4 linked regions of the Elephas maximus indicus genome follow. The protein of the gene in region 2 binds, or shares a complex with, the protein of the main gene of each other region. Links are inferred from orthologs where the notes say so. Each region holds a gene or a part of one and is shown on either strand. Other genes may lie near its edges. The genes, in order: NUP214, E3 SUMO-protein ligase RanBP2-like, NUP205 and CETN3.

The links.
Region 1: E3 SUMO-protein ligase RanBP2-like (region 2) and NUP214 share a complex: the UniProt entries of both Homo sapiens proteins name them as parts of the nuclear pore complex. The link is inferred for Elephas maximus indicus from reciprocal best matches to the Homo sapiens genes RANBP2 and NUP214.
Region 3: E3 SUMO-protein ligase RanBP2-like (region 2) and NUP205 share a complex: the UniProt entries of both Homo sapiens proteins name them as parts of the nuclear pore complex. The link is inferred for Elephas maximus indicus from reciprocal best matches to the Homo sapiens genes RANBP2 and NUP205.
Region 4: E3 SUMO-protein ligase RanBP2-like (region 2) and CETN3 share a complex: the UniProt entries of both Homo sapiens proteins name them as parts of the nuclear pore complex. The link is inferred for Elephas maximus indicus from reciprocal best matches to the Homo sapiens genes RANBP2 and CETN3.

Annotation. Positions count from the first base shown.
Region 1 is NC_064827.1:82,068,813-82,075,865, reverse strand, and holds the start of NUP214 (nuclear pore complex protein Nup214), read right to left. Parts: upstream 3,021-7,053; 5' UTR 2,900-3,020; coding exon 2,855-2,899; intron 184-2,854; coding exon 1-183. Other genes in the region: AIF1L (allograft inflammatory factor 1-like), read right to left, coding at 6,768-6,855. UniProt on the Homo sapiens protein: Part of the nuclear pore complex. Has a critical role in nucleocytoplasmic transport.
Region 2 is NC_064835.1:77,082,917-77,090,300, forward strand, and holds the start of E3 SUMO-protein ligase RanBP2-like, read right to left. Parts: upstream 3,021-7,384; 5' UTR 2,904-3,020; coding exon 2,832-2,903; intron 1-2,831. UniProt on the Homo sapiens protein: E3 SUMO-protein ligase which facilitates SUMO1 and SUMO2 conjugation by UBE2I. Involved in transport factor (Ran-GTP, karyopherin)-mediated protein import via the F-G repeat-containing domain which acts as a docking site for substrates.
Region 3 is NC_064826.1:14,293,059-14,300,320, forward strand, and holds the start of NUP205 (nuclear pore complex protein Nup205), read right to left. Parts: upstream 3,017-7,262; 5' UTR 2,955-3,016; coding exon 2,927-2,954; intron 1-2,926. UniProt on the Homo sapiens protein: Plays a role in the nuclear pore complex (NPC) assembly and/or maintenance. May anchor NUP62 and other nucleoporins, but not NUP153 and TPR, to the NPC.
Region 4 is NC_064820.1:97,036,335-97,044,118, reverse strand, and holds the start of CETN3 (centrin-3), read left to right. Parts: upstream 1-4,760; 5' UTR 4,761-4,877; coding exon 4,878-4,894; intron 4,895-6,725; coding exon 6,726-6,861; intron 6,862-7,784. UniProt on the Homo sapiens protein: Plays a fundamental role in microtubule-organizing center structure and function. As a component of the TREX-2 complex, involved in the export of mRNAs to the cytoplasm through the nuclear pores.

The sequences.
Region 1 (7,053 bases), on a different chromosome or scaffold from region 2:
ATCATCCCCAGGTTTATTTTGAATCAGAAGATTTTTAGTAGGAAAAATTTGCAATCCACTGGTTCCACCAGCAAAGACCAGACCATACTTGTTGGACACGGCAAGCAAACTCGTGCGTTCCTTGGGCAACTTGTCAGGGGACTCAAAGATTCTCACTTTTTTCAGTGCTCTAAACTGAAAATCCTATTGTGAAGGATTGAGGGGAAAAAAAAAAAAAATTCAGGGCTAACAGAAAATTATGTCTGTCGTTATATTCCAAGAGACCCAATTCCAAGGCAACAAAAGAATATAATTCCTTGAGGCTAAGGACAGTGTGTCTTTAAATTCTTGTGCTTATTATCATGGTGCCTGGCATAGTGTGCAATATTTGTTAAATGAGATAAATGAGAGAAAACTTTCATGAAATTTTTCTTGGACTAATCTAGCTCACACTGATCTCTTCTTTTTTCTGAATTCCTACTGTATTTATTCTTCGAATCACCACAAACTATATTATTTATAATCTTATCCTGTCATGTTAAGTGCATATTGTCTCAGACCCAGAGTAGAGCTTAATACTTGTTAAATATTGAAAGTATCACCTAACTACAGTGAACTCTTAACTTCTAGTGTAGTAGTCAACAAATATATATTGAAATAATGATGACAGAAGATGACCAAAGCCCAAGAATTGGCTTACTTATATCATATGCCAAAAAAGCATTCTATCACAAAATGGAAATGGACAATCTCTTGAAGCTCAATGCTTTTAAGCAAAACACAGATGCTATGAGAACATTTAAAACACAAAACCAAAATTCATAACACAATCTATAAGGTCAAGCATGGCTTGATCCCTCTACCTCTGTAGTCTCATCTCCGCTTCCTCTAAAAAATGCACTATCACCACTGCTACAGCTACCTTCCCTGCTCCCCCCCACCCCATTTCCCTCAGTCCTCATGCTCTTTAGTACCTTAAGGCCTTTAGACATAAATAATTGGCCTGGGAGCCTCCTCCCCTGATCTCCTGCCAATGTCTGACTCACCTGTCTTCCATGGATTTATCTAAGTTTTCAATAAGAGATACATAAGTTTATCAATCACTATGTTAAACTACACTGTGGGTATATATATATATATATATATACACACACACACACACTTTTTTTTTTTTAATATAATTCTAAGCCTGTCTTTAAGTCAAGGCCTCAGTAAATCAACTTTATGCTTATAATCCAAAATTGTAAAAAACAAGGACAGTTTTTCTCAGCCTTCATTTTTTTTCCACACTGGATTCTTATACAGTTTCATATAGGATCCTTTCCACACCCCACAAGAGGATCAGTCCCTGGAGAAGGACACCATGCTGGGTAGAGGGTCAGTAAAAATGAGGAAGACCCTCAACGAGGTCGAATGACACAGCAGCTGCAACAACGGGCTCAAGCACAACAATGATCATAAGGATGGCACAGGATCAGGCAGTGTTTAGTTCTGTTGTACACAGGGTTGCTATGAGTAGGAACCAACTCTATGGCCCCAACACAACCCACGTACTAGTTTCCTTGGGTTAGGTGTTTAATACATATTTGCTAAAAGATTAACTGAAATACTCTTTCTTAATTCCAACTAGGAGCCCTGGTGGCACAGTGATTAAGAGCTTGGCTGCTAGTCAAAAGGTTGGCAGTTCGAATCCACCAGCCACTCCTTGGAAACCTTGAAATTCACACAGCTTTTCAGATGAGACCACACTATAGTTTCATACAGGAGGAGAATAAAAATTTCATTTTTGTAATTCTTATCCTGATAATCCTAAATTTTTTATTTGGGTCTTAATCACATGGGTACAGTAGGCCAGTGGGATGAAGAAGCACAGGAGAACTCTCCTTTCTGTTACAATCATATAACTCAAAGGGAGACTATCGTTTCTAAGGCTGTGGTCCTAAAACCTTTCTTTTCTTCTGCTCCAGCATATCTGAGGAACATGACACATTCCCTCTGGGTTGCTCACCACAGCAGTGATTCTCAAGAAGAAAAAGTAAGAATCATTACTCTAAATATGGATCATTATCCCTACGACTCGAGGGCACTGGGTGGGTAAATGCTTCCTAGGGATTTGTTGTTCACATGAATGCCTGAAATCTTCCTGTAACTTATTTCCTCTTAGCCGTTTGCTATGTAAAAGAAATGTAGCTTGTTCTCTGTACTCTCGTTCTATCAGAAAATTTATAAGAAACGTCAAACACAACCATCCTGGGGACCTACCCCCGCACTCTCCAACTTTACCATCATTTGGACCACTTATTTCTCCCCTTTTCTTGACCTTAAGCTGATGTGCTGCGCCAAAATAGCCCTTCTATGCCAGTTACCTAAAGGTTTTGTAAGATGCCTGATCTTCGGCTCTATGTTAAGCAAGTCTGGACCGCCCTACAGAAGTAGTACCGTGACAGTGAAGAAAGTGTCTTAAATAAACCTAGACTTCAGTCCCCTTGTCAAATGTGACTGGATAAGCTACTTTCCGGGTCTCGATTTTCTCCTCTGTAAAACAGGGATACTAACAACCACTTTATAGGGTTGCGGTGATGATTCAGGGAGATAATGCTTACCACAGTGCCTGGCACACAATAAACGCTCAATAAACAGTTATTACCACTACTCAGACTACCACATGTAAGCAGCTAAGATAACTCCAGAAGAATGCACAAGACTAACAAAGACCGGGGAAGCTCATTCCGTGGGGCTACCACGCAAGCGGCACAACAGAGCGCTCCAGAGCAACGCCAGTGAGAACTCTGAACGCCGTAACCTGTTCAAGCCGAAGGCGGGGCTCCAAGGCAACGCCAGTACTAAGGGAGGGAGCCCCTGGCCAGTATCTGACCTTCATTTCCCGCTCGGGGATCATCGCATCCATCTCGTCTCCCATCGCGCCGCACACAGGTTGTCGAAGCAGCTACTGCTGCCGGCCTGGGCCTTGCCCACAGAGCACAAGCCGCTCCGAGGCCAACTTCCTTCCCTCAGGGACAGTACCGCGCAGCTGAACTCGCATTTCCGGCGCGCTTTGATGACGTCACGCGTCCTGTTCCGCTAAGTGTTTGAGGAAACTAGAGGTAGACTTGAAGCCGCGCGCTCCTCGGACTGCCACCTCCCATTGGCCAGTTCAGTCCGAGTGGGGGCGTGGCCCTAGGGCCCGCACGCCTGCCGCCTGGAGCGTCCTGACTCCGCCCCCACGCTTACGGTCTCGCCTAGGGTTGGAGTTACTCGTTCGGCGTCTGACGCCTGAGCGCTGCAAGCACCTTGTTCCGTTGAAACCTCACAGTAACCTTTCGATGTAGGTGGTTATTGTTCCCGATGCAGAGATGTCAGGGACTTGACAAATATTTACAGGGGCGGCTCTTGAGAGAGGCTTTGGTGGGGCAGGGTAAGGGAAGAGAAGTTCAGAAAATAGGTGGATGGAACCTTGTCACAAAAGTCCGTTTTGAAAAAGGGCACCAAAGACCAGCTTTGTTTACTCCTTTGAAGAGCCGTATCTATCTCCGTTAACAAAATAGTTTGTGCTGAGTTCTGGGCAAAACCCTTTAGTTGTGCTTATCTTATTTAATTGTCAAGACATCCCAGCCACCTGGGATTGCCGTTTAATTGATGAGACGACTGAAGCACAGAGATGTTAAGAAAATTCCTCCAGTGCCCCTCAGCCAGAAAGTGTTGGAGGTAGGATTAGAATTCATGTTGTCTGAATTTGATAACTATTACACAGCCCTGTTGTAGAAGAAATTTTTTGTAATGGAATTATAAATGCTGTAGGATATTCTACCACTATCAGGTTTGCAGTAAGTTGTTTATCTGCTCCAAGCCCAATTCTCATCTGTAAGAGGTTGACAATGACAGAACCTATCTCACGGAGGTTTTTGTGAGGGTTAAATAAGTCTGGCACATTTTAATCTGTTAACTAGCTCTTCTGAATTTGCTGAGCTAAAGAACTGTATTAAAAATAAACCAATCATGACATCGATAAGTTTGTCTGGTTTATTTCCAATCTGTAGAGATGATATCCCACACCACACGCACTCACATGCACACACACACACACATACTTCATCCACCTGGATTTACCCAACAAACTCCTTCCTTTTGAGTCATAGGGACAAAGCCATAATTGGCAGTCCCCAAGTTGCTGGTTACATTACAGATAGATTTGGTCTTTCAGAAATAAAGACAGCTGAAGCGCCAAGAAGCTGAGCCCCTAGCCAGAGAAGTAAGTATCCTAGAGCCAATAGCCACAACCTGAAATACATGCAGGCCCCTTGTCCGAGAAACATTCTTGAGACCCTTTCCACCAAGGGTTGAGTTCTAAGAAGTGGTGAAGGAACTGATGGGGTTTCCCAAGGTACCCCCCCATCCAATGAGAGAGCCCCTCTTCCGGCCCTTTCCAGAAGCTGGAAACACACCAGCTTGTTTTCCTTCCTTAAGGAGGCTTCCTTCGGTCTTGTAAGCTGCGGAACCCACTGAAATAAGCCTGGCTAGTTTTGTCTTTCTCTGTGAGTGAGGAACGGGTACACTGAATATGATGGGTAGTAAGGAAGGCTTTACCTTGCTCAAAGGTCCCAGCCTGCCCAAAGAGGACAGGCAGTGAGAAGCCTTGGGGTCAGGTAGCTGCTAATCTATTGATCTCAGGAAAAAAAAAAAAAAAGGCAGAGGAGGTAGAGGTGGGATTTTACATTTACAGGGTGGAGTGTTTTACTGGGGTTTAAACTTCGACTAGGCCTGTGCATTTGAAGCAGCTTCTTAGGCTGAAGATCAGCCAGTCATGGCCAAATAGTCTTGCTCCTGAACTGGTTGAGACCAGTGGACTAATCTAACCTGGCCATTTCCCCACCCTCTTCCTCCCTTATCCTCTCAAGCTACTATAGGGAGCAGCACGTTGGGCCCTTGATTATGGGTCACTAAGGAGCCACAGGGAGCCCGCACTGGCTCCAACAGCCCCCAGACCTTTCTACTTTAGGTTTTGCAAAGGTTTCTCCAAGTCTCCAGTCTTGGGCCCAGCTCATTCCCCCAGGACTGCAGGGCAGTTACCCTTGTATCCCCCATTCCTAACATTCATCTCTCATGTTATTATCTGGGTCTGACTTCCCCACTAGACTCACAATTCCATGAGTCTGTCCTATTTTACTGCTGGATTCTTAGTTCTTTGCTCATAGCAGGTGCTTAATAAATACGTTCAATGAATAAGTGCATCCAAGTCCTGCATGGGGAGAGATAAGGGACTGCAGAGCACAGGTGGTATCAAGGCTGAGACCCCCTGCTCAGCCAAGAAGTGGCCAAGTTTGACATCTTCCTGCATGTGTTCTGAGAACCAGGCACCAGAACTGTAAAGGCAGTCCCAGGCCTTATACAGACCCTGATGCTGACTTGGAAATGCTGGGTAGTTAATCCTGGCCCAGGGCCTTCCAGGCAAGGAAAATCTTACCCAAATGTTGACCTAGGAGACTACCTTTCCCCAATCCTTCCCTGTTTTCACAACTAACTGAGGATTCCAGAGCAGAGATGAGGTGTGGGCAGGGGATCAGAAGACCTGAGCTCTGGTCCAGACCCTTCCATCTCCAAATTAACCCCCTGACCTTGGGCAAGGCACTTAATCTCTATGGGCCAAACATGGTTTTCTCACCTGTGACATGGGAGGACTGCCCAGCTAACCTGCAGGGTGGATTGGGACTCTTAAATCCTGTGAGTCTATAATAAAGAACAAAGGTATCCCCAATCCAATTCCAAAACTCAAGGTTTTGGGTGATTTGGAAAAGGAGAGATGATTTAGAGAGACAGTGGACACAGCACATGTCAGGATAAAGGGGAAGGACTTAAAGCTCGTAACAGATGGTCAATAAATATCTGTAGAATGAATAAGTGAATCGTGTGAGTAGGGTGGGAAGACAAATGGGGGAAGAGTAGTCAGGTTTCATGAAGATTGGGGTCAGAAAGGTAGCTCTTGGTTTAATAGTAAGGTTGACTCTTTGTGCCATGAACATTTTATTCTTGATTCTCCTGTCCTTTTGCCCTCAGCATCCTTCCTAAAAGAGACTAGACTGAGGCGACCCCTCCCCTAAGGTCCCTGGCCCCATCTCTCCCTCCAAAGCCCTTTCCTGCTCCAGCAACGGCCGGCCTGTGCAGCTGCACCTGCCCTCCAAACTGCCTGTAAAAGTGTGGTCGCTGCTGGTGGCATGGCCAGAGAGCTCCTTCCGGTACCTTCTCAAAGGGCTCAAATTGCCAAACTCCTCTCTTCCCCTCCTCCAGTCGCCTCCTTGAGAACCCTCATTGAGGATAAGAAGCACAGACTGAGTGGAGAGCAGCTGGGGTGGTAGGCCATGGTGTGGCCGGCAGGAAGCTGGGCCAAGCCAAGAACGCTGGAAACACAGAGCGGCCAGAGGAAATGTTCACAAGGCCCTGCAGCCTTGTCCCAACTCCAGAGCCTTCCCAGCCTCCCTGCCCTGGCTCTGGCCCTTCCCCTGTCCCTGTGGTTTTTGGTTTGATGTCAGCTCTTCTGCAGAGGGAGGATGGAAGGATGGGTGAAGAGGGGACTGAAGGCTCAGGATTCCACCACCCAGAGCCCTTTTAAGGCAGGTAGTTTGTGCTTTACAAAAAGATCACTGATTCTGTCCAATGAAACAAACAAACAAACCCGCAATGACCAAACAAACAAACAAGACAAATCACAATGAGTCAAGAAGGCCAGCGAGATGTGGAGAGAGGAGGAGGGGCGGGGAGGCCAGGTAGGGCAGGGGCAGGTCCAGGCAGGGTCCTCAGGGTAGGCTGGCAATGTCTCTCTCTGGAGGAGGGCCAACTGGCTTCGGGCTGTTCTCATTGGCTTTTCCTTCAAACATCATGACTCTGGTTTGGAGATGGAGAAAAACAAAAGAAAAGAAAAAAAGGATTAGGACTTCTTCCCCTATCCAGGGAAAGATCATCTAGCCCTCAAGTCTACGGGCCTCAACAGATGCCCCTCAAATCCATTTCCCAGTGGGATCTTGTGGAAGCCTAGGGCAATCTGCTAGGGCCATTGTACAGAGGAGAAAACAGGTGCAAAAT
Region 2 (7,384 bases):
AGAAAACTACATAGAAAAAAAAGCTACCTGGAAAAATAAAATTTATAGAAAGACAAGTAACTGATAACGAGCCTTGGCGGCACAACAGTTAAGCACTTGGCTGCTAACCTAAAGGTTGGTGGTTCAAACCCACCTAGCAGCTTTGCCAAATAAAGACCTGGTGACCTGCTTCCATAAAAAATGCAGCCAAAAAAACTCTGTGGGGCAGCTGTACTCTGTCAAATGGAGTCTCTGTGAGTCAGAATTGACTCGATGGCACCCAACAACAACAGGTGGCTGATGTCTTCAACAAGGGCAAAAGCAGCGTGAAAGAGTAGAAAAAAGGTAAAATAAAGAGATACGCAAATGAAAGTACAATGGAAGACCAGGAAGATAAGAGATTATGGATCCATCAACACGCTCCAAAACCTGAACATCCTAAAAAGGATGGTCAGTTCACACATGACCAGCCTCTACCAAAATGAGTGAAGTAAACACTAAGACCCCTTTCTACTCTGCTACTGTCTCTGCTCCCCCCATCTCTCCTTCCAAGTTGTCCAACCAAACCCAAACCCACTGCTGTCAAGTGGATTCCAACTCCTAGCAACCCTACAGAACAAAGCAGAACTGCCCCATTGGGTTTACAAGGCTGTAAATCTTTATGGAAGCAGACTGCCATAACCTTCTCCCACAGAGCATGTGGTAGGTACAAACTGCTGACCTTTCCGTTAGCAGGCCAGGACTTAAGGACCATGCCACCAGGGCTCCTTAAGTTGTTCAAAGCACCCTATCTTGTCATTTCACTCAGACCTAAGCTTAAAGAGTGGCTTCGCATGTTCCAAAGTTACTCACTTGCTAATCCATACCCCGCTGACATTCTCAGGCTCTAAACCTTCTTTTTCTTCACCTTCTTTGAAGAAAACATCTGATTAAAATAATATTCTTTGAGTGTATGACAAAGGTGACCGTAATAACAATCCTTAAGACTTTGCACCCATCTTCACTTTATTGGATGGAAAGATTAGGTAGCTGAAAGGTCATTTTCCATACCCTCTAACTTCTGCCTAGTCCAGCAGTTCTTAATATTTTGGAAGCCAGTGTCTTCTTACTGAGAACAAGACAAACAACAACGAAAAAGGCTTACGAATTTCAGAGAGTACAGAAATCCTTAAGAAGGTCCTTTGTAGACACTGCCAGCCCGGTAATACTTCTGACTATGCGGCAGTTCAAAATTACAATTAGATGTAGATACCTATTCATTCCCTCCTGAAGAATGACAAGGCTCTTAAGCTAAACTGTATCTTTAACCTCTCCAGGTCTCAGTATCCACAGGGTTGTTGGGAGCACTAAATAAGATAACATAAGCCTGGGATATAGACAGAGACTCAACTATGTTGCTATTACAATCATGATAATCCAAGAGTTCTGCTTTTCTAAAAACTCTTTTAAAATTTTTAAACAGATCTTTATCATCATAGGACCCTCCTTGCCCAAAAAAAAGGATGACTGTCCTTTTCACGTCAAAAACAAAAATGAACTGCCACTAACGTTTAGTGCTTAGTGTGTGCCAAAGGTCGCTATGAGTCAGAATCGACTCGATGGCAATGCGTTTGGTTTTGGGTTTGGTGTGCCAAAGAAAGGAGCCCAGGTAGCGCAGTGGTTAAAGAATTCAACTGCTAACCTTGCAGGGTGGGTTGTTTCAACCACCAGCAGCTCCTTGGGAGAAAGATGTGGCCATCTGCTTGCATAAAGATTACCGCTTTGGAAACGCTGCGGGGCAGCTCTACAACGTCGCCGTGAGTCGACATCAAATCCACGGCACACAACAACAGGTGCCAAGCTCTGTCTTAAATGTTTAATATGGATCATCCTATCAACGTTACAACTCCGTTTTATTAATGAGAAAACGGTTTAACTTGCCCAATTCCACAATTTAACAGCTTAAGAGCCCTGATTCAACCTCAGGCAAACCAACTCTAGATCCTCTGCACAGCCACACTTACCCTCCACGTTCGACCACTAAAGTCCTGTTGAATCCAAAATACATGGTTTATCTTAAAACAGGAAAAGTTCCCTAACAGTATGTTGTGTAAAAAGTTAAAATTTTTAAGTCACAGTAGTGACATTCTCTATGGAATCCAGAACTCCTAAGATTCCATTAAAGAACAATAAAAGCAAACGAAAGAAGCTTCTAAAGAGAGCTAGGAGTGGTGAAGGACATGATGAGAGGGACCCGGCTCTTAGAAGCACTGTGCAGGACACCTCAAAACAGGAGACCATCCCTTGTCACCTGCGCTGTGCGTCAAGCAGTCGCAAATGTAGCGGTAGCCCCTGCTCCGGCCCGAGGAAAAGCCCTCCCGGAGCTGCGTCAGTCCCCGCTGGGTCCCACCAACTTCCAGCCTGGGAGGTGCCGCCGCCTCCGCCGCGGTCGGGGAGCTAACAATCCCGGAGACTAAAGAATCCCGCCGGAGCTGGCACCGGGGCGCCAAGCGGGGGCACAGCGGCGGCGAGAGCCCACCGCGGAGCGCTGGCGGCCGAGGGAACAAGGGCCAGGGCGGGTCCGCAAGCGAGGACGCTCGGCGCCGGCCAGCAGGAAGAGGAAGCGCCGGCGCCACCGGCCGCTGCCCCGCCGCGAGGCCCCGCGCGGCCCCGGCTCCTTCGCCCCCGACACGCGCCCCCCGTCCGCCCGCACTCTCGCGAGCGCCACGCAACCCAGCGCCCGCGCGATCGGCCGCCGCCTCAACGGAACGCGCGAAGCAGCGGCGGCCGGCCGGGGGCCATGAAGCCGACGCGGGGCCGCGGGCCGCAGCCGGGCCAGGGCCAGAGGCCCACGTCTCCCCGGGGCGTCCTACCTCTCGGGGCGACGGGACAGAGCCCTGCACCGAGGCGATGTACCGCTCCACGTCAGCCTTGCTGCGCCTCATCGCGCCCCGTCCTGGCTCCCGGTGCGCGGGAGACCAGCCTCGGGGCCCGCAGCGCTCGGCCGTCTGTGGGGACGAAGCGCCCAAAAGCGCGTGACGCAGCGTCGTCGCCGGCTGAGGAGCGGCCGGACGTGCGTGCGTGTTGCATCAGCACTGTGCGCCACGCCGGCCACGGCAGCGAGGCCTCCGGCCAGCCCCGCGGACTTCCGCTTGCGCACAGCCCGCCGCGCCCGCTGGCCGCCCTCCCGCCGCGCTGGGGCTCGGCCGGGCCGCCGGGTCTCCGCACACCAGCCTACCGGAGCCAGGCTCAGATTCCGGCTTTCGGCGGCAGGGCTCTCGCCGGAGGAGGCGTGGGGAAAACTATCCAGTACCACGTATGATCCCAGGACTCTTAACTAGATCAGCAGGATGTTTTGAGTTCTTCGAAGTCTTGTTCCTACGTTCTTCGTTGTAATTACGTAATGCTGTGGAAAGAACCACCAGTCTCGCCATTTTGGTAAATTGGAACAACCATTCTGGAGGCGATTGGTTAAATATATTATTCTGATACGTGTGAATACGAAGCATACGTTTTAAAAGTCACGCTTTTATATAAAAGAGTACATTTTGAGACCTATTAACATATAGGTCAGATAGGACGATCAGAGTTTTGTTTACATATATGTTTAACAAAACTGTGATCGTCCAAAAAAAAAAAATATATGATTTTAGTAGAAGAGTAGGATAACAATCTCCGAGTGCTAGGGGTGAGGAAGGATGTGGCGAGAGGGACAGGACCCTTATAGGCACACTGTGAAAGACACCTCAAAATAGTGGGACACCTGTGTTCCCCCTATGTTTACTTCTGGATTTTGAATCTTAAAATCATACTTTTAAGACAAGGCTTAAAATGTTTTCAATGGTGAAGACATTTTTAGGTTTACAAGAGATTACATTTGTGCATACAGTGGGGTCTTAATTATGTGGGAAAATATCAAATGAAATCTGTTAAAATTTTTAACTGGCAATTAGGAATGTTGTGATTATTGGTAACTGTTGTCCTTTTTATTTTTCCATATTTTCTAGATGTACAGCACTGCAGGTATTCACTTTATAATAAAAAACAGTATTTGCTTGTTGTATTTCATTCACATTGGATGTGAATAAGGGAAAAGGGAAGGACGATTCTGAGGTTTCTAGTGTGACCGACGTTAACAGAAATAACATGTAGAGATAATCTGGTTTGGGATGGAAAACTGAATATACTGAGAAGATATGAGTCAAAGAACCTTCTTGAGGAGCTCAATATGAGTCAAAGAACCTTCTTGAGGAGCTCAAAAGGCTTTCCTTAAGCACGTTCATTAAGCCTCAGAACCTCATTTTCCACCAAACAGGACTATGAGCCTGTCCTCTTGGGCTTTAAAAGTAGGCACTCTCTTTTTAATGTTGTCCATTCTAGCCAGCATCTTTTCCCAGTATAGACCAGTTCCATCCAACCTATTCTTAAAAGTAATTATCGTCCCCCCAAATCAGACATCATAATATCCTGTGCAAAGAACTCCTTAGCAACGGGATGAATTCTACTCTAACTGCTCCATCACTCATGTTGAATCTGTGCCAGTTCACTGGGAATGAGACTTTAATCCGTATAGAAATATCTGGCTTTCTTTTTAGTTTTACTTGATTAGTCTGGAGTCCTTGACTTTTGAATTAACGTTGCATTAATATGCATCCAAATTTGATGTTGATCAAACTAAGGAGTTTTTTTTACCATCTGGTCAAGTACCATTGCTCTCTGTTGCTCATTATTATCCACTGCATAGACAGAGTACCTTTCATATATCATGTTATTCTTTTTTCATCAGAACCATTTATACTGTCAGTTCATCATCTTCTCAGTACTCCCAATTTACATGATAGTATAGTACTATTACTATAGTAATACTGGAGTCCTGGTGATGCAGTGGTTAAGAGCTCAGGTTGCTAACCGAAAGATCGACTGTTCAAATTCACCACCTGCTCCTTGGAAAGTTCTCTGTATGGGGCAGTTCTCTGTACTATAGGGTCGCTATGAGTCAGAATCGAGTCAATGGCAATGGGTTTGGTTATAGTAATACTAAAGTACTGCTTATTAACTAGCACTTTCAGTAATCGCACGGCTTCTGAACTGAACAGACATGATGAGGTTAAAAATATTCATAAAGAGCTCTAGAAGCAAGAGGAACCGGAATGCCTGCCCATCACCCTGACATTATCTTTTGTTCTTGGGCATAATTCTTTTAATACCTTTGCTTTGAATACATCTCTGAAAAGAAAAGCTTCTGGATATGCTACCCTCAATGTCCGTACAGTCTAAGATGCCTTTTGTGTGCAGAAGTAGGTATTTCACCCATAAACTGAGGAAGGATTTGGAGCTATCACATAATAGCACAACCCTCCCTGTAACCATGCAAGGCAGAGCTTGCACAAAGCAAAAATTAGAAGATACAGATAGATGACAATACATGTGTATGTATATTATGTATGTATGTACATGTGTGTATCTGTGGGGATGGATCCCCTATATCAGTGTTGTCTGATAGAAATACAGATAGCTGCTGTCATGGGGACTACGACTCATTGCGACCTTTTGTACAACAGAATGAAACATTGCGTAGTCCTGCATCATCCGCGCAATCGCTAGCATGTTCCAAGTCCACCATTGTGGCTGTTGTGCCAATCCATCTCACCGAGGGTCTCCCTTGTCTTCACTGGGCCTCTACTTCACGAAATACGATGTCTTTCTCCAGCGATTGGTCCCTCCTGAGGACGTCTCCAAAGCAAGTCAGACAATGTCCTGACAACCATAAGGTGGTCACTGGCTGGTTTTCAGAAGTAGATCGCCAGGCCTTTCCTCTTAGTCTGTCTCAGTCTGAAACAAAAAAAAAGAAAAACAACCCATTGCTGTCGAGTGGATTCCAACTCATAGTGACCCTATATGACAGGGTAGAACCACCCCATAGAGTTCCCAAAGAGCACCTGGTAGATTTGAACTGCTGACCTTTCGGTTAGCAGTCGTAGCACTTAACCACTATGCCAAAAAAGGGACAAATTATGTAGAGAAAACAAGATACTACTACCTGTAGCAGTCAAAGTGGCTGAAAGAAAACCCAAAAAGTATAGCATTCCACAAGCTAAAAAGCAGAGCTTTAGGGAGAGAATAATCACCAGCATGAAATGATGCAAAAGATCAGGAATGATGACTGAGAAAAGTTCTTTAGACTTGGTTCTTAAAAGCTGTTTTTGAAAGGAATGGTACAGGTGAAAATAAGACTGCACACAGTGAAGGAGGGGCAGGTGTGGGGGATGGAGGCACAAATTGATTTTTTAATAGAATTTATATTGGTATTTTTGGTAAATAATAATATAGAAAAATTTTTCCTTTTTGGGATGTATACTTCTATGAATTTTAAGACAGGTATAGATTATTTAGATCGGGAAAATACTGAAGTTGTGAAAGATTTCATTTTACCTGAATTCAACAACGTCCATGGAAGCAACAGTCAAGAAATCAGATGACGTATTCCACTGGGCAAATCTGAGGCAGAAGACCTCTTTAAAGTGTTAAGCAAAGATGTCACTTTGAGGACTAAGGTGCACCTGACCCAAACCATAGTATTTTCAGTCGCCTCACATGCATGGGAAAGCCGGACAATGGATGTTGTTGTTGTTAAGTCCCATTGGGTCAGTTCCGACTCATAGCAACCCTGCGTACAACCGAATGAAACACTGCCTGGTCCTGCACCATCGGCACGATCGGTGTTGTGCCTGAGCCCATTGTTGCATCCAGTGTGTCAGTCCATCTCGCTGAGGGTCTTCCTCTTTTTCACTGACTCTCTACTTTACCAAGCATGATGCCTTTTTCCAGCAATTGGTCCCTCCTGATAACACGTCCAAAGTATGTGAGACGAAGTCTTGGCATCTTGCTTCTGAGGAGCATTCTGGCTGTACTTCTCCCAAGATTTCTTCGTTCTTCTGGCAGTCTGTGGTATGTTCGATATTCTTCACCAACACCATAATTCAAAGCATCAGTTCTTCAGTCTTCCTTATTCATTGTCCGTCTTTCACATGCATATGAAGCAATTGAAAACACCATGGCTTGAGTCAGGCTTACCTTAGGCCTTAAAGTGACATCTTTGCTTTTTAACACTTTAAAAGAGATGTTTTGACAATGAATAAGGAAGACCAAAGAAGAACTGATGCTTTTGAATTATGGTGCTATTTGCATATTATATTATGACAATCTGGTGTTGGCTAAATCCTATGAAGAATGTAGAGATTTTTGTTTCAGCCATCTACCTGGTTAGGTTTAAGCCACAAGTTCCAACTCCTATGGCTCCAAGATCAGTTTCCAAAACCTTTGCGGTTCTGTCCCATTTTTTGCGCCACCCAGTGGCCAGTCTGGGAACTGGGCGAAGTTCCAAAGTTAAGCTCTCAAAGTCTTTGCTTTGCTCAATAGGATCGCG
Region 3 (7,262 bases), on a different chromosome or scaffold from region 2:
ACAGACAGGGAGCAGGGCATAAAGAGTGGAATTTACATCAGCCTGAGACCAGAAGAACTAGATGGTGCCCGGCCACAACCAATGACTGCCCTGACAGGGAACACAACAGAGAACCCCTGAGGGAGCAGGAGAACAGTGGGATGCAGACCCCAAATTCTTGTAAAAAGACTAGACTTAATGGTCAGACTGGCCCTAGAAGGACCCTGGAGGCCATAGTCCCCAGACCTTCTGTTAGCCCAAGACAAGAACCATTCTCAAAGCCAACTCTTCAGACGGTGATTGGACTGGAATATGGGATGGAAAATGATACTGGTGAAGAACAAGCTCCTTGGATCAAGTAGACACATGAGACTATGTTGGCATCTCCTGTCTGGAGGGGAAATGAGAGGGCAGAGGAGGCCAGAAGCTGCCCGAATGGTCACAGGAGAGAGTGAAGGGAAGGGCTGTGCTATCTCATTAGGGAGAGAGCAATTCGGAGTGTATAGCAAGGTGTATGTAAATTTTTGCATGAGAGACTGACCTGATTTGTAACCTTTCACTTAAAAGACAATAAAAACTAATTAAAATAACAAAAAAGGGGGATATTGCCTTAAATAGGAGGAGGGGAGGAAACTGCTTGGAAAGGGTACAGAGATATCTAGGTTTGTATGTGTGACAAAGGGTGAAAAAAGAGAGGTTGTGCCTGTTGGCTTCTCATGTTCTCTGTGACTAGGTGGCTGAGGCTGAGGTATCAGCTGGAGGTTAAAGATTTGAGGAGTGTGAAAAAGGTCTGAAACTGTCACTGCTGTGAATGGGGCAGAGGTGACCAGATTACTGGAAGCACTGTCAAGTACTGTTAATGGTTGCTTACTAACAACAACTAGTAAGTCATGCAGGTGAAGTTCAAACACAGGTCTTAGGACTCTACAATCTATTTTTTCCCCTTCTACAATTGTAAAAAAAAAAAAAAAATTCTCCTGATTCTTAGATTTTAAAAAAATGTTTCTTTTCTACATAGCCAATTAAAAGCTCTGCCACAGGCTTTATTATACAAAGTACAATAAACACTTTGCAACTGTTGACAACTGCTTTTCCTTTCTGCTTCAGTGTTTAATGATAGTAACTCAGGATGAATAAGTACTAAGGAAATATATATAACCACACACACACAGTATACAAGCCTTGCTTTTAAGTTTATACCTGGTAGGAAACGTGACAGCAACATTAAGGACGTAACCTCATTATTAAAATTTAAATATATGAAAATTTGATGTAATAAAATGAATTGGGTTGTGATTAAATAGTAGCGTGCAATAGTTTGGAAACCATGGCGACGTAGTGGTTAAGTGCTGCAGCTGCTAACCAAAAGGTCGGCAGTTCGAATCCACCAGGCTCTCCTTGGATACCCTAGGGGACGGTTCTACTTTGTCCTATAGGGTTGCTATCAGTTGGAATTGACTGGATGGCAATGGTTTGTTTGGTTTTTTTTGAGGGCGGGGTGCAGTAATTTAAGCCCCTAAGCTGTATAAATCCTGGGGAAGTCACTAAACCTCTCGAAGCCTCTGTTTTCAAGTCTGTAAAGCGAGGTATTTAAAAGCCACCACTCCATAGGCGCCTCAGAGGAATTAAACGAGATAATACAAGTACAGCAGTCAGTCCAGTGCCTGGGACACAGGTGCTCAATAAATATAAACCATCGTTATTATAAAATAATTTATCATAGTGTTTTTAAGTGGTTTGGTTTATAAAACTCAAATTTAGACAATTTTTCAGGAGTACCCGTTCTGTGAAAAGTAGAACCTGCACTCCTCCCCCCCAAAAAGGCACTGCATAATTAGAGGCAAAAGGCTCCCACGAAGGAGTGCTCTTGAGTGAGATTCTCTACAAAGATTTATCGCACAGGTATTCTCTTAATTGTGACCAAGAAGCTAAGTGCGTCTCAACCGGGGCATTACTGACATTCCCAGCGGGAAATCCTACGTTTTCAGGACAGCCCCGCCCATACAGGACTTCTGACATCCTTGCCCCGCCCACTAAGCGCCAGTATCGCACCCCAGGAATTGTGACAATCAAAAATGCACCCAATATGAAACGTCCTTGGGGGAGGTACCGCCCTGGGTGGAAAAACACCAAAAGAAGCCCCACCCCAAATCTTCCGGCACTCCTTTCCAATCCCACTGCCACCGAGTACACTCCGACTCAGACTGCCACACTTTCCTCCTGCGGAGTGGCTGGTGGTTTCGAACTGCCGTCCTTTCAGTTAGCAGTCGGTCGCTTTAACCACTGCGTCACTAGTGCTCTTTAGAGTTCCTTTGCCACCTTCTAAATTCTGTTCCACCCCGAAGATCTACTGCCCCAAAGGTACAGGAGCATCCAGAGCCGGGCCACGCCCGCAGAGCTGGGAGTCATCAGCCAAGCCCGCGGCAACCCAAGCCCGGCCACTTTCCGGATCGCAGACTGCATAATCAAGGGTCCTCACTGCCTATAGGACTCCCCTGTCAGCGGCTCCGGTGCCTCCCTACGGATTTGGGGTTCGAGTTTTTCAGCTTCCGCTCGTGGCTGAAAAATCTCTCAGGTCCTTTGGGCTCACTGCCGGAGATTTGACGCCTATCTTGGCGAAACCCGGGCCGAGGATACCTAATAGGGTAGGGGGAGCAGGAACCAGACTCGGCCCCGGGCTGGGAGAGACTGCACATCCGGTTGCAGGGGACTAAGCCTCACTGCCTCGGCCCTGGGACGCCGACCCAAGGGCCAGAGCCGCCGCGCCAACGCGTGCCATTCAAACCTGAGAGGAGCGGGACCCTAGGCCCAAAGCTAGAAAAAGGCGGATACCGAGCACGCGTGGGGGCCTGGCCTCGGAGGAACCTCACAGCCCGAGCTCCTCCCTGAAGAACCGATCTCCGCCCTGCCCTGCCCGGCCTTTCCCTCCTGCCCTGGCCGCACTCACCCGAATTTACCGCCAACGGGGTCGCCATCTTGGAGGCGTACTAACGGAGCCCTCGGGCCGCACGGAGGACCCCGACGGGGTGAGGCTGCCCGCAGCGGCGCCTGAACAGAAAAGCTCCACGCTGTCCCCTCCGAACGGCGCGCTCGGTCGGCCTGGGCGGGCGAAAGACTCGAGAATCTGCTTTGGGTCACAAACGTCAATCTCCACCGGGATTAATCCCATTCAGGTAAGGCGAGGGCAACCAGTTCGGAGACGCGAGGCCCTCTGTCTTACTTTGAGCCTCTAGGCATCCTGGGACATGTAGTTTCTTCCTGGTGATAAGTGAAATTTGTTTATACCCGTTCCTTTCCAGGCGATTCCGACTCACAGCGACCCTATAGGACAGAGTAGAACTGCCCCATAAGGTTTCCTAGGAGTGGCTGGTGGATTCAGGTGGATTGGAACTGCGGACCTTTAGGTTCGCAGGCAAGCTCTTAACCACTGCACCACCAGGGCTCCGTAACGCTGGACAAAGACATCCTGAGACTAGTTATTAAAATGTCGCCTGTTTATGATATTATAAAAGCCGTGCATTCAAAATAATTCTCTTAATTTAAAACTAACTCTTCCTTGCATGTTGCGTCAACATTACAGAGAGTGAAAGAAATCAAAGGGAAACAAATCATAACTTTTTATTATGAAAGTTTTGAACATATACAAAATAAAAATAACGAGCCTCCAACGTCAAAAACTTGGCCAATTCTCCCCTCTCCGCAGCAAATTCCTGACATATTTCAGAAACACCAAGTATTTTTTACCTAAGCATCAGAATAGCTGGGCCCTGTTTATTCACTTGCATCAAACTAAAATATAAAAATCATTACAACTTATGCCAGGCATATATTAAAAATCGTATATGCATTATATCATTTAATTCCTGCCACAACCCTATAAGAGGGATGATAAAATTATAGCTGCTTATCTCAAAGATGCTCCATGTGTCTTACAGTCTCACTTTATCAACTCCAATATTTCACTGAGGTTGAGAGGAAATAGGGTTTGCATTCCCAGTTCACTGTCAGAATTAGAATTAAATAATGCAGATAAAACCATAGAGTATACTGTTGAGAATATTGAGTATATTCATTCTTTTGAACAAATAATATTGAGTGAGACTGGTCCAATGTACACTAGGTGAAACACAAAAGTTACTGGTGGTTTTTTTGAAAGCCATTTCAGTATAGAGGCAAATGCCAGGCTACAATGAAAGTGATTCTCAGGAATGAAGGGGAAGAGAGAGGAAGAGAGAATGAAGGGATTTTTCATGAAGTTCTCCATGAAGGTGAGAAGAAAATTGATCGGGAACTTGGAAGGAAGCAGAGTCCAAACAAGATTTTCTTTCTCAGCACAACTCTTACAAGCCTTCCTCCCACACACACTCTTTAAGCCCACATACTTCCCTCTTGGTCGATGGCTTTGCTTTCCGTGAAGGAATGATTTAACTTCCTGCAGCTCACGCTCACCCATCACCACACTGACTCAAGTTCTCTCATGGGATGCCTCAACCCATAGCAATCAGGATATTGCCCCCATCACCACCCCTCTAAAACTGCTCCCAGTAAAGTCACCTGTGACCAACTGTCAAATCCCACGTGCACTTTTCTGAATGTCTTAGAAACGTTTTTTCTGGTCTTGGCTTGTGGAGCATCACACGTCCAGGTTTTCCTCTTTCTAGTTTTCCTTTTACGTTTCCTGCATGGGCTGCTCTTCCTTTTTTCACCCATTAAATGTAGCTCTCCCCTCATGGTCCCTCCCTTGGTCTCTGTTCTACATGCTTTCTCTGGGAGATCCTATGGCTTCTTAGTACTACCTGTTGGCTGATAAATCCGTACTTGTATCTCTAGTCTGGGCCTCTCTCCTGGCGCCTCCATAATCTACTTACTGGGAGAGAAAGAGAGGGGCCATGTAGAATAGTGTTAAGAAACCAGACCCTAGAGCCAGGCTTCTGGGGTTCAAATCCTGTTTCAATCACTTGGCTGTGAAACAATCCTCAGTGCCTCAGTTTCCTCACCTTTCAAAGAGGATGACGATGACAATAGTACTTACGCCCTTGGGTTGTTGAGAGGCTTATTTGTAAAGTGCTTAGAATGTGCCTGACACATAGGCTATATGAGCATTTGTTAAATAAGGATAAGCTATGTCTAATCTGCCCTGTGGGGTCGCTATGAGTGGGAATTGACTTGACTATGAGTGGGAATTGACTTGACAGCAATATATATATATATATATATATATATATATATATGGTAAAATAAGTGCGAAATGGAGGTGTAGTCAATTACTTAGGGCTAGTTTAACCAGGCTGTTAGAGTGCACTGAGGCCTTGGGAGTGCTCTACAATTAAACAATTTGTGATTAATCTGCAACGAGGGGCTGCACTGTGCCACAGTCCAATTGATCCATTCCAAGAGACAGAAGGCTATAATCTTGCACTCCCAATGGTTTTAGATTATTCATAACTTCTCTCATTGCCCTAATTGAGATTTAACTGCATACACGAAGCTCTTTCAGATCTTAAAATAGACAGATAGCTGCTGTCGAGTTGACTCCGACTCAAGGCAACCTCATATACAACAGAATGAAATGTTGCCTGGTCCTGCATCATCCTTACCATTGCCAGCACGTCTGAGTCCTTCGCTGCAGCCAGGGGTGGATTACCCAATAACCAAGGTAAGCACGTGCTTAGAGTGTCAACAAAACAGGGGCACCAGTTGTCCAAAGCAAAGACCCATAGATGCCAAGAAGACAAGACACAAGGAAAAGCAAGCACCACAGAGGAAGAGAACTGGCAAGGCACTAAACGAAACTGATACTCATTCCAGTGCGTGAGAATGTGCCAACCAGAAATAAAGTTCACACAAGGTCACGACAGTGCCTATACATAGGGTTGTTTAAGCTATGAGGCCCCTACCACTTCAACATCTTTGTTGACATCTGTCTCCTACGGTCCCTTCCTGTGTAATCGAAATTCCTTGTCTCAGTGAGTCTCTTGTGAGTATACTGTTTCTTCCGAATAAATAAGAGGTGGGGTGGGCCGTCAAGTCTAACTCTTGCTACATTCATCCAATATGCAGCTTGATCCAACAAGAGTGGTTACTGGGCAAGGATGGATTATATTAATAGATAACAAGTCTCAGATCCAGTCACACCCGTCCATATCTGCTGATCCAGCAACTCCAGCCAGGAGACAATGATTTTGGCCATGATGCAAACACAAGGATACGGTCTTGTGCACGTCCTGGTAAACAGCCAATGGGAACTCCAGTCCCAGATGACTCGCAAAAGTGAGGGAACTCAAATAAGTCAACTACTGCAATGAATCCAATCAAGTTACTTTTTAACTGTCTAGCATTTACATACTGAATTATGTCCTAAGTAATGTAAACAATAACATTTATAACTTTAAAATATGTTTGGCATAAAGGCAGACACAGTTTAGCATACATTTAATATAATACTAATGGGCAATAATTTAATGTAATACTAACATAGCAAACATCCAAAAATACTAGAAATAATAATATTTATCTAACAGGGAAAGTTTTAATTTATGTGTCAAGTGAGTTTTGTTTTTTATTGTCTGTTGTGTGAACACAGTGCTTGATATTGCTGTATATGTGCTAATGAACACAGTATCAGGCAAGTTAAGATTATGCAAAATTCAATATTTATCATGCATAATATGTTTCTGTTTTGCAACAATGAGTCTGTTTATAAATTCATCCTCCAAGAAAGCAACAAAGGACATTTATCAGAACATTATATTTTATCAGAATATTTATGTATCTCTGTGTAAGGAAATTGAACAATTCCTCAAGGAAATAAATTAAATGAAACGTTAGATAATAAAAATTATATAAGTGTATTTTATTTTCCATTTCCTTTCAGAAGTCGATTGACATTGTTATGACTCACAAAACAAACTTGCTTTTCGAGAAGTGCTGTTATCGTTACATCAGTTATGTGTGTATGTATCTCCAAATATGGGAGTTGAACGATTCCACAAAGAAATAAAATGCATATTTTATAAATGTTGTATACGATAACAATTATATTTTCCTTTTCATTTCGGACCTATCAGGTATGACCTCACATTCAGTTGTTGCTCACCAAACACAAAAGAACGCATCATTGCGACTATAATCATGTAACTTGTGACATACTAGTCCTGTCCTGCGCAAATTGAACCAAAATGTATCTGCACATTCAGCAAACCCTTGTATTTGTATCATGCTCTTTGAAATTGCTCTCACACCCCTTGAGTATCAGCAGTAGTCCAATGATCTGTGAAGATGCA
Region 4 (7,784 bases), on a different chromosome or scaffold from region 2:
GTTTTGGAAAGTTTGATTATGATATGTTTTGGTGATCTTTTGGGGTCTATCCTGTATGAGGTTTGTTGAGCTTCTTGGATGGAAGCTTTCTTGTCTTTCATGGTATCAGGGACGTTTTCTGCCAATAAGTCTTCAAAAATTCTCTTGCGCTTTTTTGGTCTCCTCCTACTGTGGAATTCCAATCATGCTTTTAAATGATTCCTTTTAATAGTGTCCCACATAACTCTTAGGCTTTCTTCACCTTTCATTTTTTTTTTTTTTGATTCTTCCTCAAATTAGTAACAAGTGATTTGTCCTCTATTTTGCTGATTCTTTCTTCCATTGATTCAGTTCTACTTCTATGTCCAACCATTATTTCTGATATTTTATTGTTAATCTTCTGGATTTCTAGTTGCTGTTTTATATGGTTTACAATTGTCTGTCATTTTGTTCTTATATTGTTTTCCTGAATTCTTCTAGAGTTTTGTCTATATACAACTTTTGAATTCCTTATCAGGTTGTTCCATTACCATCTCTTCCTCAGGAAAATTTTCTGCCCCTTTGCCACTTGCTTGAGCCATCTTGTCTTGCTTTTTTATACAGTTTGATATCATCTGCTGTATCTGAGGCATTAAGGTACCAGGTTAGTGCTAGCAGTTACTGAATTCTCTGGAGGTCAGGGCAGGAGGCCTCATATCCATTTGTGGTTCTATGTGTGACTTTGGTGGTGTCTGTTGGCTGAGAGTGATTTTCTCACTAGTGGATATGGTGGATCACACCCACTTGGAGTCCTCTGTAGTTAGGCTTGTATGTCTTCCCTTACCTGATTGAGTGTAAGTGGTATAGCTGGTTCTTTCCCTGATATTGGGTCACAAATGTTGGGTAGTCTGGGTCCCTCTGCAGCCCTTGTGGGACCATGTGGTACTTCTGGGTTGATGCTAGTAGTTAGTGTATCTGCTGGAGAGCACGAAAGGTCATCTTTGTAGGGGATAGGCTCTGGGTATAGGCACAAATGCTCTCACTGGGCCAATGGGCACTGGAGTGCTCCTGCTGGTCACTATGTGGTAGGTACTCTCCATCCACTTGCTGGGCTGCAGGCTAGGGGGCATTTCTGCTGGTTGCTGGGCAGTGAATGCAGGCACACTCCTGCCAGTCTCTGTATAGCAGGCATGCTCCTGCTGGTTGCTGGGATGCAGGTGCGCTCCTGCCGATCACTAGGTGCGCTCCCACTGGTCTCCAGGCTGCAGGTGTGCTCTGACCAGTCCAGCAGTCCTAGGTGCTCCTGCCAGTTGCCGGGTGGCAGGTGTGCTCCTGCTGGTTGCTGGGCAGTGGGCGTGCTCCTGCTGGTCTCCAGGCAGCTGAAGCAGACTCCCGCCAGTTGGTGGGTAAGGGTGTGGGGGATGCTCTTGTTTGGCTGCTCCAGGCAATTGAGGCCTGGTTCATTTAAATGTGGGGGAGTGCATGGAGACTGGCTGGGTGTGGTTTTACTATTCAGTGGGTGCTTCCCGGCCAAATGCTCAGGCACTGCCACTGGCGAGTAGTACCTTTCCTAGTTCCTGGCTCCCTCCCCTCTGCGCGGTTTGTTTGCACAGTATCTCTTCCTCCTGTTGTGAGCTCCATGTAGTTGCCTTCCTGTGCTCCTTACCCAGGAATGCTGCCCGCTTTGTTTCAAGATGGCTATGTTGTGCCAGGCGAGCTGGCAAGGTGCTGAGGATCTGTATATCTCCATGTGTGCTGTTTTCTTTCAGTCTCTCCTTCCACTTGGAGCTCAGTCTAATTCTTAATCCTTCTGTTTAATGATCAGGGTTCCCTGGTTGTCCTGTATCTGTTTCACTTAGTTTCTAAAGTACTTGATGTAGGGGGACATTCTGCATGTCAGTCTAAGCCACCACCTTAGGCTTTCTGTGCCTAGTTTTTTAGTTTTATTCTATTATACTATCTTTACAATGGGCTGCAATGATGTGATCAAACATAGCAACGACTGTGAGGATGGTGCAGGATGGGTGCCATGGATTGAATTATGTCCCCCCAAAAATGTATTAACCTGGTTAGGCCATGATTCCCAGTATTCTGCGGTTGTTCTCCACTTTGTGATTGTAATTTTATGTTAAGAGGATTGGGCGGGATTGTAACACCATCCTTACTCAGGTCACCTCCCTGATCCAATGTGGAGGGAGTTTCCCTGGGGTGAGGCCTTTACCATGTTTTATAAGGGACGCAAGCAGAGAGTTGGGGACCTCATACCACCAAGAAAGCAGCACCGAGAGCAGAGCACGTCCTTTGGACCTGGGGTTCCTGCACCTGAGATGCTACCAGACCAAGAGAAGATGGATGACAAGGACCTTCCTCTAGAGCTGACAGAGACAGAAAGCCTTCCTCTGGAGCTGATGCCCTGAATTTGGACTTATAACCTCCTAGACTGTGAGAGAATAAATTTCTCTTTGTTAAAGCCATCCACTTGTGGTACTTCTGTTATAGCAGCACTAGATGACTAAGACAACGGGGCAGTGTTTTGTTCTGATATACACAGGGTGCTATGAGTTCAAACCGACTCAGTGGCACTGTTGTGGATTGAATTGTGTTCCACAAAAATGTGTGTCAACTTGGGGCTAGGCCATGAGTCCCAGTATTATGTGGTTGTCCTCCATTTTGCGATCTGATGTAATTATCCTCTGTGTTTTAAATCCTAACCTCTATGACGTTAATGAGGCAGGGATTATAGGCAGTTATGGAAATGAGACAGGATACAATCTACAGGATTAGGTTGTATCTTGAGCCAATCTTTTTTGAGATATAAAATACAGAAGGGAGTAGAGAGGAGAGAGACCTCCTGCCACTGAGAAAGAAGAGCTGGGAGCAGTTCATCCTTTGGATCCTGGATCCCTGTGCTAAGAAAATCCTAGACCCAGGGGAAAACTGATGACAAGGACCTTCCCCCAGAGCTGACAGAGAAAGCCTTGCCCTGGTGCTGGCATCCTGAATTTGGGCTTCTAGACTGTGAGAGAATATATTTCCGTATGTTAAAGCCATCCACTTGTGGTATTTCTTTTATAGCAGCACTAGATAAATAAGACAGGCAACTAATTACCTGTCCATATTTAGCTCATTCTTCTAAGCCTAACACATATGCCATCTCCCTGAAGAAGCCCTACTGTGTTCTTTCCCTTCTCTAAACCTTTATATACATCCCTTATCTTTATCCCATTGCTGTCAAGTTGATTCCAACTCATAGTGACCCTATTGGACAGGTTAGAACTGCCCCATAGGGTTTCCAAGGCTGTAAATCTTTCTGGAAGCAGACTGATGACATTTTTGTTCTGCAGAGTGGCTGGTGGGTTTGAACCACCGACCTTTCAGTTAGCAACTTAGCTCTTAACCACTGCACCACCAGGGCTCCTTCCTTATATCATAACCCATTGCTGCTGAGTCAATTCTGACTCATAGCAACCCTATAGGAGAGAGTAGAACTGCCCCGTAGGGATTCTAAGGAGTGATGGTGGATTCAAACTGCTGACCTTTTCATTGGTAGCCAAGCTCTCAACCACTGCACTGCTTTATATCATGTTAATAAGTTAAATATTTTCTCTCTTCCTTACTCACACACTCCCTCCCAGGATTTTATTCATGTTTACGAGATTTGCAGCTTAGCTCAGTACTCTTCCCAGCAAGATTCTATGAAATGCAGCACATATTTTTGATGCATTAGACAGTGTATGGATTGTTAGTGGCATTGAGTTCACCCTCAACTAATAGGGACACCATGCACAATGGAATCTGATCATTATGAGCCATAGGGTTTTCACTGGATGATTTTTCAGCAGATCACCAGGCCTTTCTTCCTGGTCTTGGTCTGGAAGCTTGGCTGAAATCTGTTCAGCATCATAACTACACATGTCTCCATTAACAGGCATATAGTGACTGTGCTTGAGGTGCACTGGCCAGGAATCTAACCCAGGCTCCACGTGAAAAGTGAGAGTCCTACCATGGCCTTCAAATAGTGCTAGGTTGCTAGGACTAGAGTTAAATGGAAGATACAAGTCTGGCCTTCAAGAAATTCAACATAGTGGGGAGATGAAAAAGTAACCATATTAGCCAAATGAGCATCAAAAAACTTGGTTTGTTACTGAAAGTAACACCTTGTGTATGAACAGTTTACAGCCCTGGAAAATAATATGAGACACAGTGGACAAATCCCGTCAAAGGAGTTCAAAGGAGAAAGAGGGGGGAGAAGAGGTGTGATTACCCATAGGACCTGCTTTGAAATCACTAGGACAAATATAAGGGGGGAAAAATGCAGATTTATACCTCCTGGAATCACAACAGGGAAAAGGAGGCACTTAAGGATAGGTTTTAAACTCCCTAGCTCTTGGGCCATCCAAAATTTTAAGAAAACAGTGGCGCCAAGTTTCGCTGACCTCATCACCCATCTGCTCCCTTTAAATAGCTGGGAGACGGCTTGCAACATGACTCCTGCCTTCCTTTCTTCCGAGGTAGCTCGTCTCCAAACAGCAGCCAGTACACGGCGCTCTCAAGCGGACATTCGCCCACCCCACCGCCAAACACCGCAGAGGCGACCAGATCCGGGCCCCGCAAAGGATTCCGGGTAAAAGCATCTGGCCAATCTAAAGGGCCGACCGAGCTGCAGGAGGGACGAGCAAGGACGTTTCGTTGTTTGACGTTAAACCTGTCCAATGAGAATACAGAGTCAGTGAGGGCCCCCGCCCCAATAGGCAGGATATTAGCCAGTTTCAACCAATCCAACTCAGAAGTGTTGTCTTGTGGGCGTTCCTTGACGCTGCTGGCGCCGTTGGTGTCTGTTGAACGGGCTTTGCGAGTCGGGCTGTGTTGGTAGGGTGTTAAACTCGTTCTTGAGAGGAACGTCTCTGTCGGAAGAGAACATGAGTTTAGCTCTGAGGTCGGTAATGAGGAGACAATGCTCTCCACACCCCGGAGCGGGACCCAGGGGTGGGTGTGTGGGCGTGTGGAAAGAAGGCAGTTTGAGATGAGGAGCGGGGCGGGGACGGAATCTCGGCCAACTTTCTTGACCGCGGAACCCTTACGCTAGGAGCCCTTGGTGTTCCGTAGGTGATGAGTTCCGGCTAAGGTGATCGTTTCTGTCAACCCGTTTCGGTTTTTGGACTGCCAAGGAGGCAGCTACTGTGTTAGCGATCGTGGAGGGAGTGAAATATCGCGAGGCTTTCTGCTCTGGGTGTCCCTGCGAAAAACCAGGCCGTATCGTATCCTTCATTGAGTTCAGTGATCCCAACCTCCGGCCCCCACCTTCTGTTAAGTTGCTGACGTAATCACTCAGTTATAAATTTTGGAAATAATGCAAAGCTCCTCCTTGTTCTTCTCCCCGGGCCCTGCTTTGCGGTATAATTGGAGACACGTTTTAGTGACTTTAGTTGACAGTATCTTAGATTTCCTTAGATTGAGTTCGTTTCCCTTCATTCTAGCCTTTAACCTTCCCGCTCCACTTGCTTCTCCCTCCACCATCCCCATGTAGACGTTTTATCAGAAAAATACCCGTGTAGTTACGCCACTCTAAAAGGTGCTGTTTTCTACTAATGGGCAGTTGTGGTATTCTTGGATTGAGTCAGTTGTCGGTCGGTTGCAGACTTGTCCTCTCGGAATCTTGGGACGGTAACGACTGACCCCGGGAATGTCGAAGCTTGTGTGAAGCCTGGTCTCTTGTGAAAGAAAGATCTTCCTTACCTTTCTCATGCTTCACCTCCTGGTCACTTTCTAGCCATCTCTTTTTTTTTTTTTTTGGTTGCGGATTTCAGAGACCAAAACAACTGGAAGCGCGAATAACACGTTCTAATAAAATCAACTGGATTTTACATTATAAAGTTTTATACGATTTGTCTATACATGTGTTGCATCACCATTTGAAAATTTGGACCACATAAAGATTGGCGTCTCTTAAGACGTTTCTTCTGGCTTTTGAAATAAATTTTGCTTTTATTTTTCTTTAAGCTTTTCCAGAATTTGTTATAAGAAATTTATAATTTACATGCTAAGTGAGACTAGAAGACCATTGAAGCTTCATCTTATCTATATAGGATTAGCACAGTATTATGTACTTTTTCTTTTTGGCGTTTAATATTCGTGATATGTTTAGATTCAGTATTTTGGTTGATTTGTTAATATCAATGGATTAAATCACAAAGTGCCAAGCCATTAGCAATATGTAATGTAAAAACGTTTTGAACCTGCAGTGCCAAAATCTTTAGTAAGTTAATTGATAAATTATATGGTTTTATTTACTTTTTTTTGTAGTAATTTTTAGGATAAATTATAAGCACTCTCAAAAGTAAATCGAGTATGTATGGTTTCATAAATTATGAATTTTACTTGGAGGTTTTTTTAACTATATATTGTAGGATGATATGAATAAAGTTTGCTTTTTTGTTGTTTGGGGTTTAATAAAAGTAATGTTTTTTGTTTGGGGTGACGTAAAAGTAATGTTTCTTAATCACCGTTGTTGTTGCTTCCACAGTAATATTAACGGGAATTAACACAAAGCTATGAGGACTGAAAGTTAGGTCTTTGTTTTTCTTTCGAAAACCTGTAACGCTCTTCGGTTCTGGGAAGGGGCAAATGTATAGAAGCTCAGACAATTCCTTTTTAGAAAATCATTCACTGGATAATTTTTTATTTGTCTTTTTGCAGTCTTAATAATTCAGAGGCATAAGAGAATAGAATTAGAGTAGACTAACAACTTTTTTCTGTCCATTTCATAGAAATGAGCTTGTAGTAGACAAAACAAAGAGAAAAAAGCGAAGAGAACTCTCTGAGGAACAGAAGCAAGAAATTAAAGATGCGTTTGAACTATTTGATACAGACAAAGATGAAGCAATAGATTATCATGAGTTAAAGGTAATAAATCCTTTAAAATACATGTCTGTGTTATAATGATTTGCATTGTTGATAGTTTAAATATTTTTAACTGAATTGGTTTTAGAAATATGAAACAATTTTAAGCTTTCACAGTAAAGTGCTATAATAAAACTGAATACTACCCCTTACATACCTTTTCAAAACTCCCTTTTACATGGTAAAATGAGTTTTAAATAGTATTTTAAGCAGTATTTGAAACCTTGCATATATTCTTATGGCAGTTACTTATTTTTCATTCATGTAATTGAAAGATTTCAAACTATGGGATTTAAACAGCTCTTACTATATTCTTGCCATTTTTTTGATGAATCATTTTTTCAGTGTTTTTTTTTTTTAATTTTAACATGTTAGTAATAAGGTTTTAATCTACTGTCTCTGATGCAATCAACAGAAGTGATATCTAATGTTAATGGGGAAAAATGTCAACTTTAACGCCTAGAATTATTTATAAACATACAAGGGGAAACTGTTTTTGTTTTAAATATTGTGGTAAATATATATGCAACAAAGTATTTGATATTTCAATAATATTTATATGTACAGTTCAGTGACATTGTGTTCATCATGTTCGACCATTACCCTTATCTGTTCCCAAATTATAGAGAAAAACAGTTTTGAATGGCTTTCTAGTAGCCTTCATAGGTATGTGAATATAATAAATGTTTATTTGGTGGTTTTAATTTTGGTAACTTTGTATGGGATTTTTAAGCACAAAATTCTGAGTAGGGGAAAGAACTGTGCAGTGACAGGACGGAATGTATAAAAGCAATACTAGGCCTGTAAGTCTGGCTTTCTCAGTCTTGAGGTCCTCTTAAACTCTCTTCCTACAGCTTTTTTTAGTTACCCACATTTGATCATTTCTTCTATTCTTGCTATTACTCTCTTGATTTGGGACCCTATTT